Nothobranchius furzeri: one gene and its partner. The protein of the gene in region 1 interacts with the protein of each later gene in a pairwise test. Links are inferred from orthologs where the notes say so. Each region holds a gene or a part of one and is shown in the gene's direction. Other genes may lie near its edges.

Region 1 (7,478 bases):
TCAGGGCTTTTAAAGTAATTTAACAGAGATTTTATCTGAAGTACAACTGCTGTGACTCCTCCAAGAAATGAAAACTCTAGACAAACGTTCTATCTCCATTCTCTGCAGCTGGTTCAGGGTTGTCATGATTGCTAGATGAAAGGGTCTTCGCCGAGGTGGAGCTGGGAATAAATAAAGGCCAGACCGTCCAAGTTCACAGCTGCTTGTTTCCGGTCTACCTGGTCGACGAAGAACCCAGCCTATGTCGACCAGGTAGACCGCTTCCTTGAAGGGTGCAGCCTGGATTTGGACACACCCATGACTTAGTGATAATCAAGAAGGATGACGTGGTCGTCTGTAGATGATCTGTTAAGGTGTTGTCTTACATCTCTAATAATAGCAATAGCTAGAAAATCCCTGAAGAAATTTAAAAAAGGGCGCTGCCCGCTGACAAAAGAGATGTGTTAAACAGACCCATCATGATATTTGGGTGACTTTGGGATGAGCAACCCTAAATCATTAGGTTTAACTATTAATAACCTAATTAATAATAAAACACTTCTATCTTTGTTCAGTTTTTTCCAACCTCACACTTACACTAAGGAAGAAATTCGTTATAGTCATAGTTAAGCTCAATTTCTATAACATAAATTTAAGACGTTTTAATTGAGACGATAACAACTTGTTGATAAAAACATTTAGAACAAAAATTATAAAAGAAACATAAAAACACAAACTAAGTATAAAATGGACTTCAGACGAACGTCTCCGTCCAGGTTTGAGACAATAGAGCTGTTAACGTTTTTATTCAGGTTTATAATTCTACATGTTGGGGATTTTTAACTTTAATTTTCCAGTTAAACAGATATGACACATGACCACTAGATGGCGCTAACGCGCCGAGCTGGGATGAAGAGTGAAACCGGAATAAAGCTGTTGAAATCCGTTTATTATCAGGTTTAACCCTCCCGCATTGTTAATTGGGTCAGATGGGCCCCGGGTGTTATTTTTTTTAATTTTATTCACCTCTTCACCCTTGCCAAGGGTCACACCATCAACACTAAACCGCTCCTGTCCTGGGGTCACCTGATAGGACAGGGGAAGGGTTAAACTTCACAAGATTTCATTCACATCAAATTGAACAAAGATATCAGATTTGTTTAGAACATCAGAAATCAAGTCAGATAACACAACGAGGTTATTTTTCTTCCAACACCTACTAGAATAAGATCTCAGGTGTTACGGCCCAGCTGACCAATCCGGGTGTTTTATGTTGGTTCTGTAGCACACCCTTGTCTTAACTCAGCTCTCATTAACGCGGCTTGTCCCACTTTTTCAAGTTAAAACATCTTAAATAGACTCATTGGGTTAGGAAGCTGGGCCAGACGCTCACGTAGTCTAAATGATGCTTTTTAGGCTAAAGAGAAGAAACTTCACGGAGACTCTATAATAGAGACGTGGAGATGTGGAGCAGCACATACTTTAATATCAAACAGCTGTGATGAAAACAAATGTTAAAAACAAAGACCTCAGACCGAAGTTTTAATCGTTTTCTCTCATCTGCTGGTATTCTAAAAAAGGCCTGGCCTCAGGGCAGCTTCGCCAAAGAGACTCGACTCGATCTCACAGGATTCCCCTGGTTAAATAAGGGTTAATAATAAATACAAATACAGTAAACCTGGCCCGTAAAGCTGGGCAGCAAATAAAAAATAACAACAAAGAGCCTCTACCTGGTTAGATCTTTTATTGTGAAAGGGCAAATGTTTTTGGTGTGTAAAATTGGTTTTAATTTGAAAGTATTTGCCGTGTGTGGAGATTATTGCCATACCGATAATTTTAGAGATAATTGATACAAATATAAACGATGAAATCACATCATGATCATTGTATGATTAAGTGCTATATGAATAAATAAATAAATAAATAAATAAATAAATAAATAAATAAATAAATAAATAATCTTGAGAACATGACTTGATGAGCAATCTTCTTCACACTAAAATCCAAACGTACCTAAAATGAAATAAAAACTTTTCCAAACACTTTCATTCAGTTGTATGAATGAAACCAACATTTCTCATGCTGATAAAACCCAAATCCACATTTTCATACGCGCTGAATATTCATCCAGCCAGATCTAGGTGATCCTCCCCTGCGCGCTCTGCGCGCTGCGTTCTCGCTACTCCTACTCCCGAAGCCCAGCCCCCCTTGATCCCCTTCGTCCATTGGTGTCTTCAGGGTGTCTCTTCTTTCCTCCCGTCCATAGGTAGTCCATAATGAGTGTCCATTGGCTTTTATTAAGGCTTGCCCCCCTCCCACTGGCCTGCTTCGCCCTGCCCATGTTTTCTGTGTCTCGGTCCGTCCAGCGCCTGACGTTCAAGTTCGAAGGAACGTCACGTCCGCAGTTGAACTTGCAGCTAAGGGGGCTTCACCGTCCCCCATCACTCTCTCTTTGCGCAGAAGTCATGAAGAGCGCCGCACAGCCCGTCGCGCGTTACGCATCACGCTCTGTATGATCTCGCCTTCATTTCCTCCTGTCTGGATGACAGACGCGTGAATGAAGATATTCCATTTGGAGTCTACCTTTTAGGAACGGATTTCCCGATGTGAACCCAGCTGAGGAGCCGCCACTAACCGACCATGTCTCGCCGCAAGCAGGGCAAACCCCAGCACTTGAGCAAACGGGAGTTTTCGCGTAAGTGGGAACAAACGGCTTTTTACCTCTCGGAGGTCCACTTCTTTGTTTGTTTATGCTTATTTTCCTGTTCGGGGGGGTGGGGGGGTGACTTCCCTGGGGAATGCGCGGACGAGGACGCGGCTGTCCGGTGCGAAAACCTAAAAAACGCAGGTTGTTCTCAGCTGAATCTTCCGGTGGAAGTTTGAAAACAACGTGACAGAAAGCTTTGACTGGAGTTAGTGAGCGACTCGCTCAAGGTTTCTTTTAAAGGGCACGCACGCGCTTCGTGAGCGGAGACCTTTGGTTGAATGAAGGCAGCGCGGACTCACCGCTGCGGTCATTCACTTCCAACTTCCAGGGCTTTTAAATCCCGTCCTTACTGAACATTTCCGCACAAATGTGCGGCTGTTTGGACACAGAAGTTGTGTCTACTCCCTCCTGGAAGCGCAGGGGCGCGGCGTGCGGCACCTGGAAAGGAAAAAAAAGAAATGAAATTTGATATTTTACAACAAAATCCTCATTTAACGTTAGCCTTCAGTGTCTTTGGTGCATTTCCATAAAGATCCGCGCATGAACCTGTTTGGAGGGGGCAGCAAACGTCAGAAATCTCGTTTTACGCACGTGGAACAAAACGCAGGCTGGCTCTAGATTGGAGCTTTTACGCACTGTGGAGATCCTTAATGAAGGGGGTAACAAACGAGACCAGGAAGCCCCAAACTGCCTCACCAGGGCTCCCCGTTCGCACGTGGAAACATCTTCTAACGCTCATGTTTTCGTTTCGTCGCCAGAACGTGATAGAAGAAAACCAAAACTGCGTTTTGAAGGTTATTCTGACCATTTGGGCTTTTGTTGGTGTAGATGTGTTCCTGCATGCTGCTGAAGATTTCCTGCTCATGATTCCTCGGACAGCTGTGGGGAGTGTGGCCAGTGGGGGGCGTGCCATGATTGTGGTCCTATGGCCCCCCTCACCAACCTGAACTTGATCCACTTCATCCCTGTTCTGCTTAACCAAGCGTGTGCAAAGGGTCGTTTTAGCAGAAATAAGGAATTGCATTTTTAATGTTTGGTCCTTTTTTCAGGAGAGAAAAACAAAACTAGACATTGAAGAAATCCAAACAGCATTGAGGTCAAATTGTTCCAAAGATAAGCTAAAAAAAAATCGGAGTAGATGGGAACAGTTTGCATCTGTAGGACTTTCAGGCTCATCCTGGAGATAACTGACACGGTTTTCTATAAAACAGACAGTGTTTGAAACTGTGTTTTGCAGAAAAACGTGCATTAAATCCGTCCCTTTGGCCTTTTCAGAGTGGCGTTATTGATCCGGTGTTAATAAAGGGACTGCTGTTGGTCTAAAATGGCAAACAAAAGGAGGCTGAATGATTTTCCTGATGATGAAACCGACGTGCTGCAGGAGCCCGGTGGGAAACTCCTTCCTAACCTCCTTCAGAAAGCAGCTGAAGACTCACTTGTTCAAGCTGGCTTTTGTATGACCGTCTTCACCACTCTCTTTATTCTGCTCTCCCCACCTATTCCACCTTCCTCAGATCCACTGATTTCCCTCTTTCCTGTTCACTTTATCTCTCTTTCTTAACATTTTTAATCACAATTGTCTATTTTTGCTCATTTTAAATATATTTTTAAACATTTTCTAAATTCTTTTTAAAATATTTTTACAATTTTTGTTTTTGTGAAGCGCCTCGTGATTTTTACCTTGAGAGAAGCTATAGAAATGATACTTTCTTCTTCTTCTTCTTCTTCTTCTTCTTCATATTCTGGCCCAGTGAGAAAAGAATCATGTTTCTAAAGTTATTCAGAGCCGTCTGGCTTGGCATCAGAATGAGATGATTTGGTTTGACGAGAACGTTTCCTCCTTCCCCGCCTCACCTGTCTGCGGCCTAAGCCGGTTAAGATAAGCTGCGGTGAAATCGGGCGCATTCCTTCATCTTTAATGCAGCTGAACACACGAGTACCAGGCCCTATCTCACCACCGTCTCGTCTGACCCCGTACAGAATTAAAGGCTGAACCGGCGGCGAGAATTCTTCACATCTTATCTCGACGTCTCAGTCGGGGCGCCCGATGTCGTTTACCACGCGGCTAAGATTCCTTCCCTGTAAACCGCTCCCTCTCTCCTCTCTGCGGCACTTCAGGGACCTACTCCACATCCAGCCCCTCCATGTCTCACCTTGGTTCACAAAGATCCCAGCACTTTTAACGAAATGGGGTCCAATCATCTTGAACTCAAATTAGAATCTATTTTTTGATTCTCAGAGGTGTTAGGTTCATTAAAAAAGCGAGATTGGCAGCACAATAAAAGAGGGTCAAGCAACTTAATCGTTTGACTGCTGCCTGCGAGCTGAGCATGTCAGTCCTCATCGAAGCTCTTTTCACCTCCCCCCCTCGTGAAAATGTCACATGCACGGTTTAAAACTGACCCTATTCCTGTAAAACGTGTAAGGATTGTTGCAGCTTGAGACTCAGACACTAATAAAACCTTTAAATGACAACTGATTTCTCTTCTCTTGTGCGCCCCTCCAGCTGAGCCGCTCTCAGGTGTTCTAGCAGAAAGAGACTCTCAGGACTCCCCCAGGCTGGGCTTGGCTCAGGGCGACCTCCTGAAAGGGGACCAGGACCTGCTCACCTGCGGCCAGTGCCACACCCGCTTCCCCCTGGCCGACATCCTGCTGTTCATCGAACACAAACGGAGACAGTGCCACGGCACCCTCTGCGGGGACAAACCTCTGGACAGGCCGCCATCCTCCCCGCTCGCCTCACCCCTCTCCACATCCTCATCGCACTCTCGAACCCAGCACCCGCGGAGGGCGCGCCACCCCGTGGAGGTGGCGGTCCAGATATCGTTGCTGGATGAGGATTGTTTATCTGCACCTTTGCAAGGAATAATCCCCAAGCAGGAGAACGCTACAGGTAAACGGACGAGCAGCGAGGGAAAACCTTTTCTAGGGTTCAGGTAGAGTTTATTCCAGGAGGAAACAAATGCTCCCTGAGATGTGCTTGCCTCTGCTTCTGGTAATTTGGATGTATAAAATCTGCATAAACAGGGTGTAAAATACCCGCGGCTGCGCTTGGGAACCGTGAGGTTTCCCAGCTGAGTCATGAACCTAAATGAAGACCAGCCATCCTGAAAACGATTGTGAGAACGGGGAAACATGTGGAGACAATGAATACACACACACACACACACACACACACACACACACACACACACACACACACACACACACACACACACACACACACACAGGGAGATGAGTTGGTCCTGCCTCACAGATGTGCTCCGGCGCTGCGTGGACCTCTGATGTGGTGCTCGGAGACGTGTCCCCGGCCCTTTCTGGCTCGTTACTCTGTCATGCTTTATCTCTCTGCCCTCAAATATGCGCCTGCAAAGACTCGCTCTGATTCTAAAATAAAAAGCGATAGAGAAGAATGTAATTATCTGTCAGTGAAGAAGTGTTTATTTGAGGAACTCTGCAGCCACTAATTGTGGGTGTTTTGCTGATTTGAGTGATGAAGGACTTCCTAAGGCATCTCGCCGGTTTGCCGGTCGTCCACGGGAGCCAAACGAAGCTGCAGCGACAACACGAGTGGCTGTGAAACATGCAGCGTCCCGTGTGTTCTGATTTGTAGAGCGGGAGGGAGGAGGGCTGGCTCTGACCAGCACGTTTGAATGTTTGTTCCGTTCCTTAAAGAGCAAGTCACCCCCTGCCAGAGTCTAACTCCACTCTCACTTCATGTTTGAAAAATGCAACAAATGCTGTTGCCTGGCACACCGAGAAGGCGGAGCTGCTAACAAATACACACACACACAGGCTCACGACAGCATTGTGACATCATAATGTACCAGTTTACATCATAGCATACCTCTTAGCCAATAGCAGTGGCAGATTTAAATTCAAATACAGTGCAGAGTTTTTACCTGACAACGGCGCAACACTGCCAGTTTTAGGCAGAATATTTAAATTTTAACTAAGATGCACTGAAGTGCCAAATTATTGACGACACGTGTCTGCAGCACGGTTAGACACTCGTTTATTTAGTTTATCAGCAAAAAAAAAGTTTATTTGGGGGTGACTTGCTCTTTAAAGGCACTAAGCGCGAGTGCCAGTGTGCTGATTGTCTGGGCAGTTGTGATTTCACTTGAAGCCAATCCAGGCTAAACACACGAGAAGTGCTCCATCACTCGCTGTGCTGTAGCGCGTTAGCTGCTGATGTGGTCTCATGTTGGTTAGGCAGCCCCCGACACACACGCGCCTCTCGGCCCTGTCAGCTGTTCAAACATGCACGTCTTTGCTCCTTTAGATCGTCGTGCAGCAGAGTTCCCGTGACAACAGCAGGTCGGCGTTATTTTTCCACTGGAACGGTCGGGATCGGCTCAGCGGCGAACGCTCAGGCGCCTGGTCTGATTCTGCGTTTGCAGATCAGCAAACTAACAAACCTGGTAGCATTTCATAATTTTTCCATTTTGGGTGTTGAGCAGAAAAACGCCGCCTCTGTGCTGATGGGGCTCCGCATCAGTCACATATGCAGACGAGCCCGGCCCCCTCCACCTCCACCTCGGTTTTCTGCATCCCAGATTGATGGATCCAAACTGGCAGTGCCAGCGAGCCACCCCGTTCTCCATATGCTAGCTGCCATGTTCTCTTACCCTGCTCAGTCAGAGTCTGACACCGAGCTGAGGCATCTCAATACACACTGCCCCCCCCCCCCCCCCCCCCACTCGCCTCATTCCCAGCCCATTCCTGGGGAGTGTGTTATCTGCTGCAGCCCTCGCTCCCCACCCACCTCCTGAACTATCATTTGACACAG
Region 2 (7,669 bases), on another chromosome or scaffold:
CTTAGTGACTTCTTCCCAAACAGATATTTATTCACGCCTGGTCTGCTAGGCCTGCATCCTGATAGTGAAGCATTAAAGGTGAACTGATGTTTATGTGGCTGCAAATAGGGTCACAGATAAATGTAAAAATGTTAGTATGTGATGGAAGTTAAGGTTATCTTTAATATAACTTGAAATGTTTTATTAAAAACAAGAGAAACACCCCATGATGTTTAAAACAATAATTATGTGCAAAATGATTGAATTATGCAGAAGTTATTTTTTTCTTCATTTTTATGTTCAAATAGCAAATAAAATAAGATTTAAAACATATTTAATGCAAGTTATATTCTAGAATATTTTTTACTCTTTAAATTTTATTTATTTATTTATTTATTTTGAAAATGTTTCCTGCTGGAGCCAGAATGACATCCTTTAACCCTTTAAGGGTCAGCAGCTAGAGCACAATTGTTCCAATTACAGTTAACTGGAAATAATGTTTCTAAAATAAATGAGGGTGTTTGGCTAAAATGTTTAATTTCATTAGCATGAACTGTTATACCTGACAATAAATTACAACCATATTCTCTTAAATAAACAGGAACAGTTTTTTTATCGTGATGCACAATTTAAAGAGCTAAATTACTTAATTCGTGATTTTTTACTGCTTTGGAAATGGACCAATAACACTATTTAGAAAAATATATAAATAAAGGTTTCATATGTATGAATTGGTGTGCAACATAAGAAAACATTATTTATTATGATATTGTGACGTCTTAAAGCTGCTTTCTGCAGCTCATAGAGCACACACGTGTGGTCTCTCTGGTTGACTTTATCAGACTCTTCGTTGTTAGAGTCCATCCTAGAGCATGTCAAGTATCTGCATACTGATGCAGAACCCCCCCATCCAAGAAAACAGATACACAATCCAGTCCGCCTTTTGTCCGCGTGCTTTCATTGACTGCTGGAGAAGAAGGGAGTCACTCATAGAAGAACGTGAAAGAGGGAAGCCCCGGCAACCATGATGCTGGTTATGTTTGGGTAAAGGCTATCGGTGAATGACGAGGATTAGGACGAGTTAAGGAGATTATGTCACACATTCACCATTCACACACCCTGACAGCCACCCACACACACACATACATACACACGTGCGTGCGCGCGCGCGCACACCACAAATTGGGGAATCTTTCTTATAAGTAATTATTAAAAGCCGTTTTATTGGGAAAACTAAAAGACAACAAACTTCCGGTTGAAAGCCAAACTCTTCATTCAGGAGAGTTAGTGCGCTGATTTCTGCTCCGGCTCGTTAGGCTCCAGCAGTAGCAGGTCGGCGGACACAACAATGGCAAATTGCAATTAACTCCGCCTCTCCGCCTCGGCCCTGCTCCTCCGCTTAAATCGACACTTTGTGAGTCCATATGGCCCTCGGTGCAGCGTGGGAATGAACACAATTAAAAACGGAATATGGATCTGCGGAGTTACCCTGCGAAGGCACAGCAAGCTGTCAAGGTCAGGGTGTCAGGGAGCGGGCACTGCAGGGCCTGCGCTGACCCCGGACCGAACCGAGCCGGGACACACGCAGTCTGGAGTTCCAGTATCACACAGGAGGGCGACGTAAGCCCCGCCTCCCCCAAACCACTTTAACGTCCAAAGAAACAGTAAACTAAATCATTCATGTTGGTTGTTGCGCCTTAGAGACCAAGAGAGGGAATGGAGACAACGCTGACACAAACGACGGACCGACAACAGGCAGGGTTATATACACAGAGGGAAACAATCAGGGAAACAGGTGACAGGTGTGTGGGGAGTGAGATCATAAGGGATCAGGTGAGTCTAATTAACTGAGTGGGGAAACTGACTTAATCTGCAGCGAACTAAAGATAAGTGAACTCCTAAACCTGAAAACTAGACACCAGAAGAAAAACACTAAGAAGGATGGGATAACTAAATCTGAAGTCACTAAGGGGAAACCGGGAGGGAGCTGCAGACCTAAAGGGGCACAGAAACCTAAGGAGAACACCTAGGGGAAAACCTGGAGTGGGCTGGGGAACACAAGAAGGCACATGAGGGGGACGCAGGATGCAGAACATGACAAAACAAAGAGCACAAAGTCTGCCGGAAACAATTCAAAACCATTTTTGAAGAAAGTTCAGAGAAATATTGTGAATGGCAAACATTTATTTATTTATCAGTTTATTTATTTATTTATTTGTTTGTTTGTATGTTTTATTTATTTATGTGTTTGTTTATTGTGTTTTCTGTATATTTTAGCATTTTCCCCATATTTATCTCCTAAATATTTGTATTAAATTGCAGTGATGAAAGAGTTGACATTTTCTGAATTAATTTTTAAATCCTCCTTTTTAACATCTGATGATTTATTTTATTTTTCCAAAGGATTCTGATTTTTTAAATATTTTTAGATTAAAAATAATAATTTAAATAAAATTGCTGCTTTTTAATAAGTCTCTGCCCCTCAGATCTACCTCATTATTGAATCGATTGCAAAAAAAAAAACCTTTAACAGGCTCCGGTTCAAACAGACTGAAAAATAAAAGCCTTCTTTAAACACGTGCAACAGGTTGAAAAACGCTGCGCGCGCTGAAGCTCGCCGTGGCTTTAAAACGAGCCCTGAACAAGAGAAAAGTGCACGGAACCGCCCCCTAAAAGGAAAAGTCCTCAAGAGAAAAGACAAGAGGATAACTTTTAATTCATTGATGTATGTGGCCACGTTCATAGCATGTTTATCTTATTAATTTTCATATGTGTTACAAGTGAAAAGTTGTTTCCTCTAGGCTCAGGAGAACTGTCTGCATTAGAAACAAAATCATTAAGCTGTAAAAATGGAGCGGAAACAGGTGTGAGAATCACTTTTTATCAATTTATTTTAGCAAATATAATTGGATCTGGAGCTCTAAAATGTTCTTTTATAGGTTAGAAAACTCTTTTTTACTCGTTTTTATAAAAATGTGGGGAAAATTAGAATCAGTCTATTTTTATGTAATTTTGTTTTTATCCGGCTGCAGAATTTTAAATAAAATACAATGATAGACCACAGGATGAAATACTGCAAAATAATAACTCCTGCCTTCCCCTCTATGAATCGCAGCACATACGTGTGCGCGCGCGTGACGTCAGACTTGAGTTTGGTGTAGAAAGCCAAGGGGATGAAGGAAGTGGAGATCTCCACCCTCTAGCCTCCCCCTGACACTTCTCATAAATATTACCAAGACTGATCCAGAGGGGACTCGCACCACTAAGTCACGTCGCGCTCCGCTTCTCGCGCACTTTCACCAAAACAAGAATCAATATTTCACTTTTTCCTTCCACTTGCGGCTTCGGCTCCGTCGGACGCGCTCCAGGCAGTGATTTTGATTCTTTTTTTTTTTCATATTTATGTTGGTTTGTCCCCACACCTCCTCCAACTTTATGCGCGCGCTGTTGCGCACGAAGCTGCCGGAGGGTCTGCTGCCACTTCCGCACCGGCTGTGGCTCTCATCCGGATTCTCCAGAGAGGAAAGTGCAGCGAGTTTTAACTTGGATGTGTCGATCTGAGGTCGCTTCTGTCAAGCTGGGACTTAGACGCAACCACGCTCATCGCTGCTGGTGAGGAACCACAGAAAGCGCAGCGGCGTCGCTGGTTTCCAAGTGGGTTTATCAGGAGAAAAAAAGAAAAAACAGCAGAGCTGTTTGTTTCTGAGTCGGTAAGAGACCGAGGATCCACGATGAGCAAACCCGCCGGGTCAACAAGTGGCTGTTTGGATATTCTGAATGTCAAATCAAGTAAGTTTTACGCATCTTCTCCCCTGAGCTGTTTCAGAAGTTACCCAAAAGGCCCCTCTCTGATAAAGTTTCTGCGCACTGTTTGCACCAGTTTCCTTATAAATTAACTACTTCATTCTCACTAGAAATTTTGTACGTTAAATAATTAAAATTTAAATTAGATTTTGTCTCTGCCAAAAATATAATCTGTATTTTTTGTTATAAATAACAAATAAGACATATATTTTTCATTTATTGGCCAAAAATATGTTTCTATATTCCTCTTCAGAAGTTGATGCCACTTGTTGCTCAGATTTGTTATTCTTATAACTTTTTTAAATTAATGGATCAAATAATTTAATTCTTGATCTTTTGAATTGAACTTTAGACCTAAAATGGGTCTGTTTTATTATATAGTAATGAAACTTCAATGATAAAAATGGGCTTCAGTGTATTAACCTAATACACCTGAAATGCTTTGGTGAATTAAACCCTTAATAGTATTTTTTAATCTGTACATCGTTTAAAAAAATCAACAAAATACATATTTAAATAATAAAAAAGGCCAAAAAACGAATGTTTTGTGGAATCAGTCTATTTAATAGTTATAATTTAACCAGTGACTTTTGCTTTGGCGTGTTTCTATTGTCAGATTTTTGCAACACCTTTTATAATCTACTTTTATTTTTTTATTTCTTTTGTTTATTTTTAAAAATCAGATGAACTGATCAAGTTTTCCTCCTCGTCGATAAAGCTCCTTTTCCAGACATCCAGCAGCTTTCTTCCTTGATGGTGATTACCTTAATGAAACGTGCCATATATTTTCAAGCAATTACTGCGCACAATAGAGACGCACCGGACTCCGGAAGCGGGAAGTTAAATGCAGTTCCTCCTTTCACAACAAACTGTATAATTTTAATATTATTATTATTACAACGAAAGCCACCAGCGTCTGTTTTAAATTCTTATTTTTATTTGTTTACAATTTTCTTTAAATGTTCAAAAACAAATATATTTTAAAACCCTAAAAGTTCATAAATCTCTAATAAGTGCGTAATTGTGGTTTAAAGCTAAAACTAAATCCTGCACGAGTTTCTGATTGAGAACAAACATCCAGCCGGAGTCCTCTAACTCCCCCCTGAAGTCATTGTTTTTGCTCTTGAGTAGTGATTCCCATGCTACCCTTTTTGACGGGTCACTGGTGAATCAATGAGCAGGTGGCAAAACGTCAGTGTAATTACATAGACGGCTTTTCCCTCCACAGAGGCTCCCTCATATGCATACAAATATACTTCTTTTTAAGAGATTTGAATACAAATCTGCAGACCAAAAAAAATCACTTTTTTCAGCTACACTGAGGTGGATTTACATACACTTCATTTGAGTTGGTGAAACGAGTTGGTACGCATTATTCTGCTGGTGCAGTGTCACTCCCTAATCCTGGGGCCTATAGACCTGCGGGATAAAGCAGCTGTCGAGTCCCATTATGAAGTGGAGTTGGCAGCTTGTCGAGATCCAGGCAGTCAGACGAGGTTCAATGGGGGAAAATCATTAAGTTAACACTTTCCCTTAATGTCTCCATTGTGCGCCCGCGGTCATTGTCTTAGAGAGTTCAGATATGACGCTTCCCACCGGACTTTATTCTGGAAATACTGTGAATTCCCATGCTCAGGCCAAGATCTGGATAAACGAGTCACTGAGGCCTTTTAAAACTACATTTTCTGGGAGTTGCAGGAAAGCTATTTAATATATCCGTAATTTCATCCATCTGGTGGTTTGGCTCTTTTCTGATAAACCTTCTGGCTTCTCCAAGGTCGGATTCTGGACATCCCGTGTAAGGTGTGCGGCGATCGCAGCTCAGGGAAACACTACGGGGTTTACGCGTGTGACGGCTGTTCGGGATTCTTCAAGAGGAGCATCCGCAGAAACCGGACCTACGTCTGTAAATCTGGCTCACAGGTGAGGCGTCGAGGAGCCCGAAACTGGCTGACACATTTTCTGATCTTTCTTTTTATTAAAAAAAAACAAACAGGTGGAAAAATTCAAGCAATCTACAATTTTCCAACTTTAACTGAATCAGAGCAAATAGTGCTGCATTTGTAACATCATCTAAAATGAATAGGTGTTTCAGTTTTGTCCCCAAATGCGCATAATTAGCTTTACGCACGGATTGCGCTTTTACGTGCAGCTCTTTTTCCCTCCCTTTCCTTGGTCTCAGTGGTAAATCTTCCTTGATGAGCCTAATTGTGTCATGCCTGCACCATTAAGTCCTGGGCTAAACACAGCGCAGCTCTGATATATCAGGTGTAATCCAATCTAATGTGATGACTCCGAGGCGAGGATTTAGGCGGCAGAGGGCGGGATCAGGTACTTATCCTGCGGGATGAGGCCGCTCTAGAGCCGCGGGGGAGCAGGGCTGGAACTAATAGCACGATCTTTTACCTGCAGATTTGCCTCCCAGGGGGATAATGGCAAGAGGGGGGCTTTAACTGGAAGCTATTTCTTTCCCCTCCCAACTCAACTCCCCAATTTGTCTCTCCCTTTCTCTCTTTTTTCTTCGCAGGGTGGTTGTCCCGTTGACAAAACTCACAGGAATCAGTGCCGAGCGTGTCGTTTGAAAAAGTGTCTGGAAGTGAACATGAATAAAGACGGTAAATTGGCCTGATTTAATTATCGCTTTGACTAACGCCACGCTGAGGCGTTTGGATTCGAGGTGGATGAAAAAAAGTTTTCTAGAGCTGCTAATCAAGTCTCCAAAGAAGTAGATAATTACCTGCTGTTTGTTTGTTTCAAAGAGGATGTTGTTCCTACTCTGGTGGAGCGCAAATAAAAGTTTTTAAAATCAATTTATGCACATAATTGACAATTTTAAGAAAATCATTTTAAATTAAAATGCGCATTAACGTCCGCTTGTCCCGTTTCACAGCCGTTCAGCATGAAAGGGGCCCCCGGACGTCCACCATCCGCAAACAGGTCGCCCTTTATTTCCGTGGCCACAAAGAGGTGAACGGCTCCTCGACCCATTTTTCTGGATCTTCACTGTCCGGACCTCCCTTCTTCACCACCGTCACGCAGCTGGAGCCTCACAACCTGGAGATGAGCTCAGTGGCCACGACACCGGAGAGACAGGCCATCGTGGGTCTGGCGCAGCCCACTCCAAAGGTCAGCGATGCCTATTACTTTATATTTCCTCTTTTGTGATTCAACTGGAAGTTTGAGCTTTTACAGTAAATGTGCAGGTTATATTTTGATTTCTGTGGCATTTTTCTGGCTTTTCCAAATTTATTATCGGATTTTCTTTCATTCGAGGGTTAGAAGTTGAAATTCTTTTCCTGATTTACATCCTGTAAGAAACATAAATCCGCTAATTAGATTTACCCCCCTTAAATCCACCACAAGCAACACTAATGATTATAAAATCAGGCGCTGGAGCTTGGAATTCGGTCTTAGTTGCGCACGTGCACCTTTGTGTGTTTGCAGTACCCTCATGAAGTCAGCGGAACCCCCATGTACCTGTACGAGGTGGCGACGGAATCGGTGTGCGAGTCTGCAGCGCGCCTCCTCTTCATGAGCATCAAGTGGGCCAAAAGTGTCCCTGCCTTCTCCACCCTCCCGTTATCTGATCAGGTACACTTATGAGATGAACAATCACTGTAAATATGTTTGTTTTAGAGTTTAGATTACTTTTTTCTAGACCCAAATTAGGATTTTGTCCGTAAAACTGAATTTTGATTAAGTTAATATTCGATAAATCAAAAGGATCTTATTTTTGCAGCTGATTCTGTTGGAGGACACGTGGAGGGAACTTTTTGTTCTGGGCATTGCTCAGTGGGCCATTCCTGTTGACTCCACCACCCTCCTGGCTGTCTCTGGTGCGTAAAAGTGTCCAAAGTGTCCAGCTCTGTTATCCTTAATGCTCACA

What was found.
Region 2: the proteins of B-cell lymphoma/leukemia 11A (region 1) and nr2e1 interact in a two-hybrid assay, tested with the Homo sapiens proteins (2 studies listed by BioGRID). The link is inferred for Nothobranchius furzeri from reciprocal best matches to the Homo sapiens genes BCL11A and NR2E1.

The regions. Positions count from the first base shown.
Region 1 is NC_091746.1:23,914,751-23,922,228, forward strand, and holds the start of B-cell lymphoma/leukemia 11A, read left to right. Parts: upstream 1-2,274; 5' UTR 2,275-2,619; coding exon 2,620-2,674; exon of another isoform or gene 2,675-3,124; intron 3,125-4,366; exon of another isoform or gene 4,367-4,428; intron 4,429-4,540; exon of another isoform or gene 4,541-4,668; intron 4,669-5,192; coding exon 5,193-5,579; intron 5,580-7,478. UniProt on the Homo sapiens protein: Transcription factor. Associated with the BAF SWI/SNF chromatin remodeling complex. Binds to the 5'-TGACCA-3' sequence motif in regulatory regions of target genes, including a distal promoter of the HBG1 hemoglobin subunit gamma-1 gene.
Region 2 is NC_091742.1:2,363,963-2,371,631, forward strand, and holds the start of nr2e1 (nuclear receptor subfamily 2 group E member 1), read left to right. Parts: upstream 1-3,524; 5' UTR 3,525-3,710; coding exon 3,711-3,768; intron 3,769-5,560; coding exon 5,561-5,706; intron 5,707-6,310; coding exon 6,311-6,398; intron 6,399-6,673; coding exon 6,674-6,909; intron 6,910-7,227; coding exon 7,228-7,374; intron 7,375-7,522; coding exon 7,523-7,619; intron 7,620-7,669. UniProt on the Homo sapiens protein: Orphan receptor that binds DNA as a monomer to hormone response elements (HRE) containing an extended core motif half-site sequence 5'-AAGGTCA-3' in which the 5' flanking nucleotides participate in determining receptor specificity.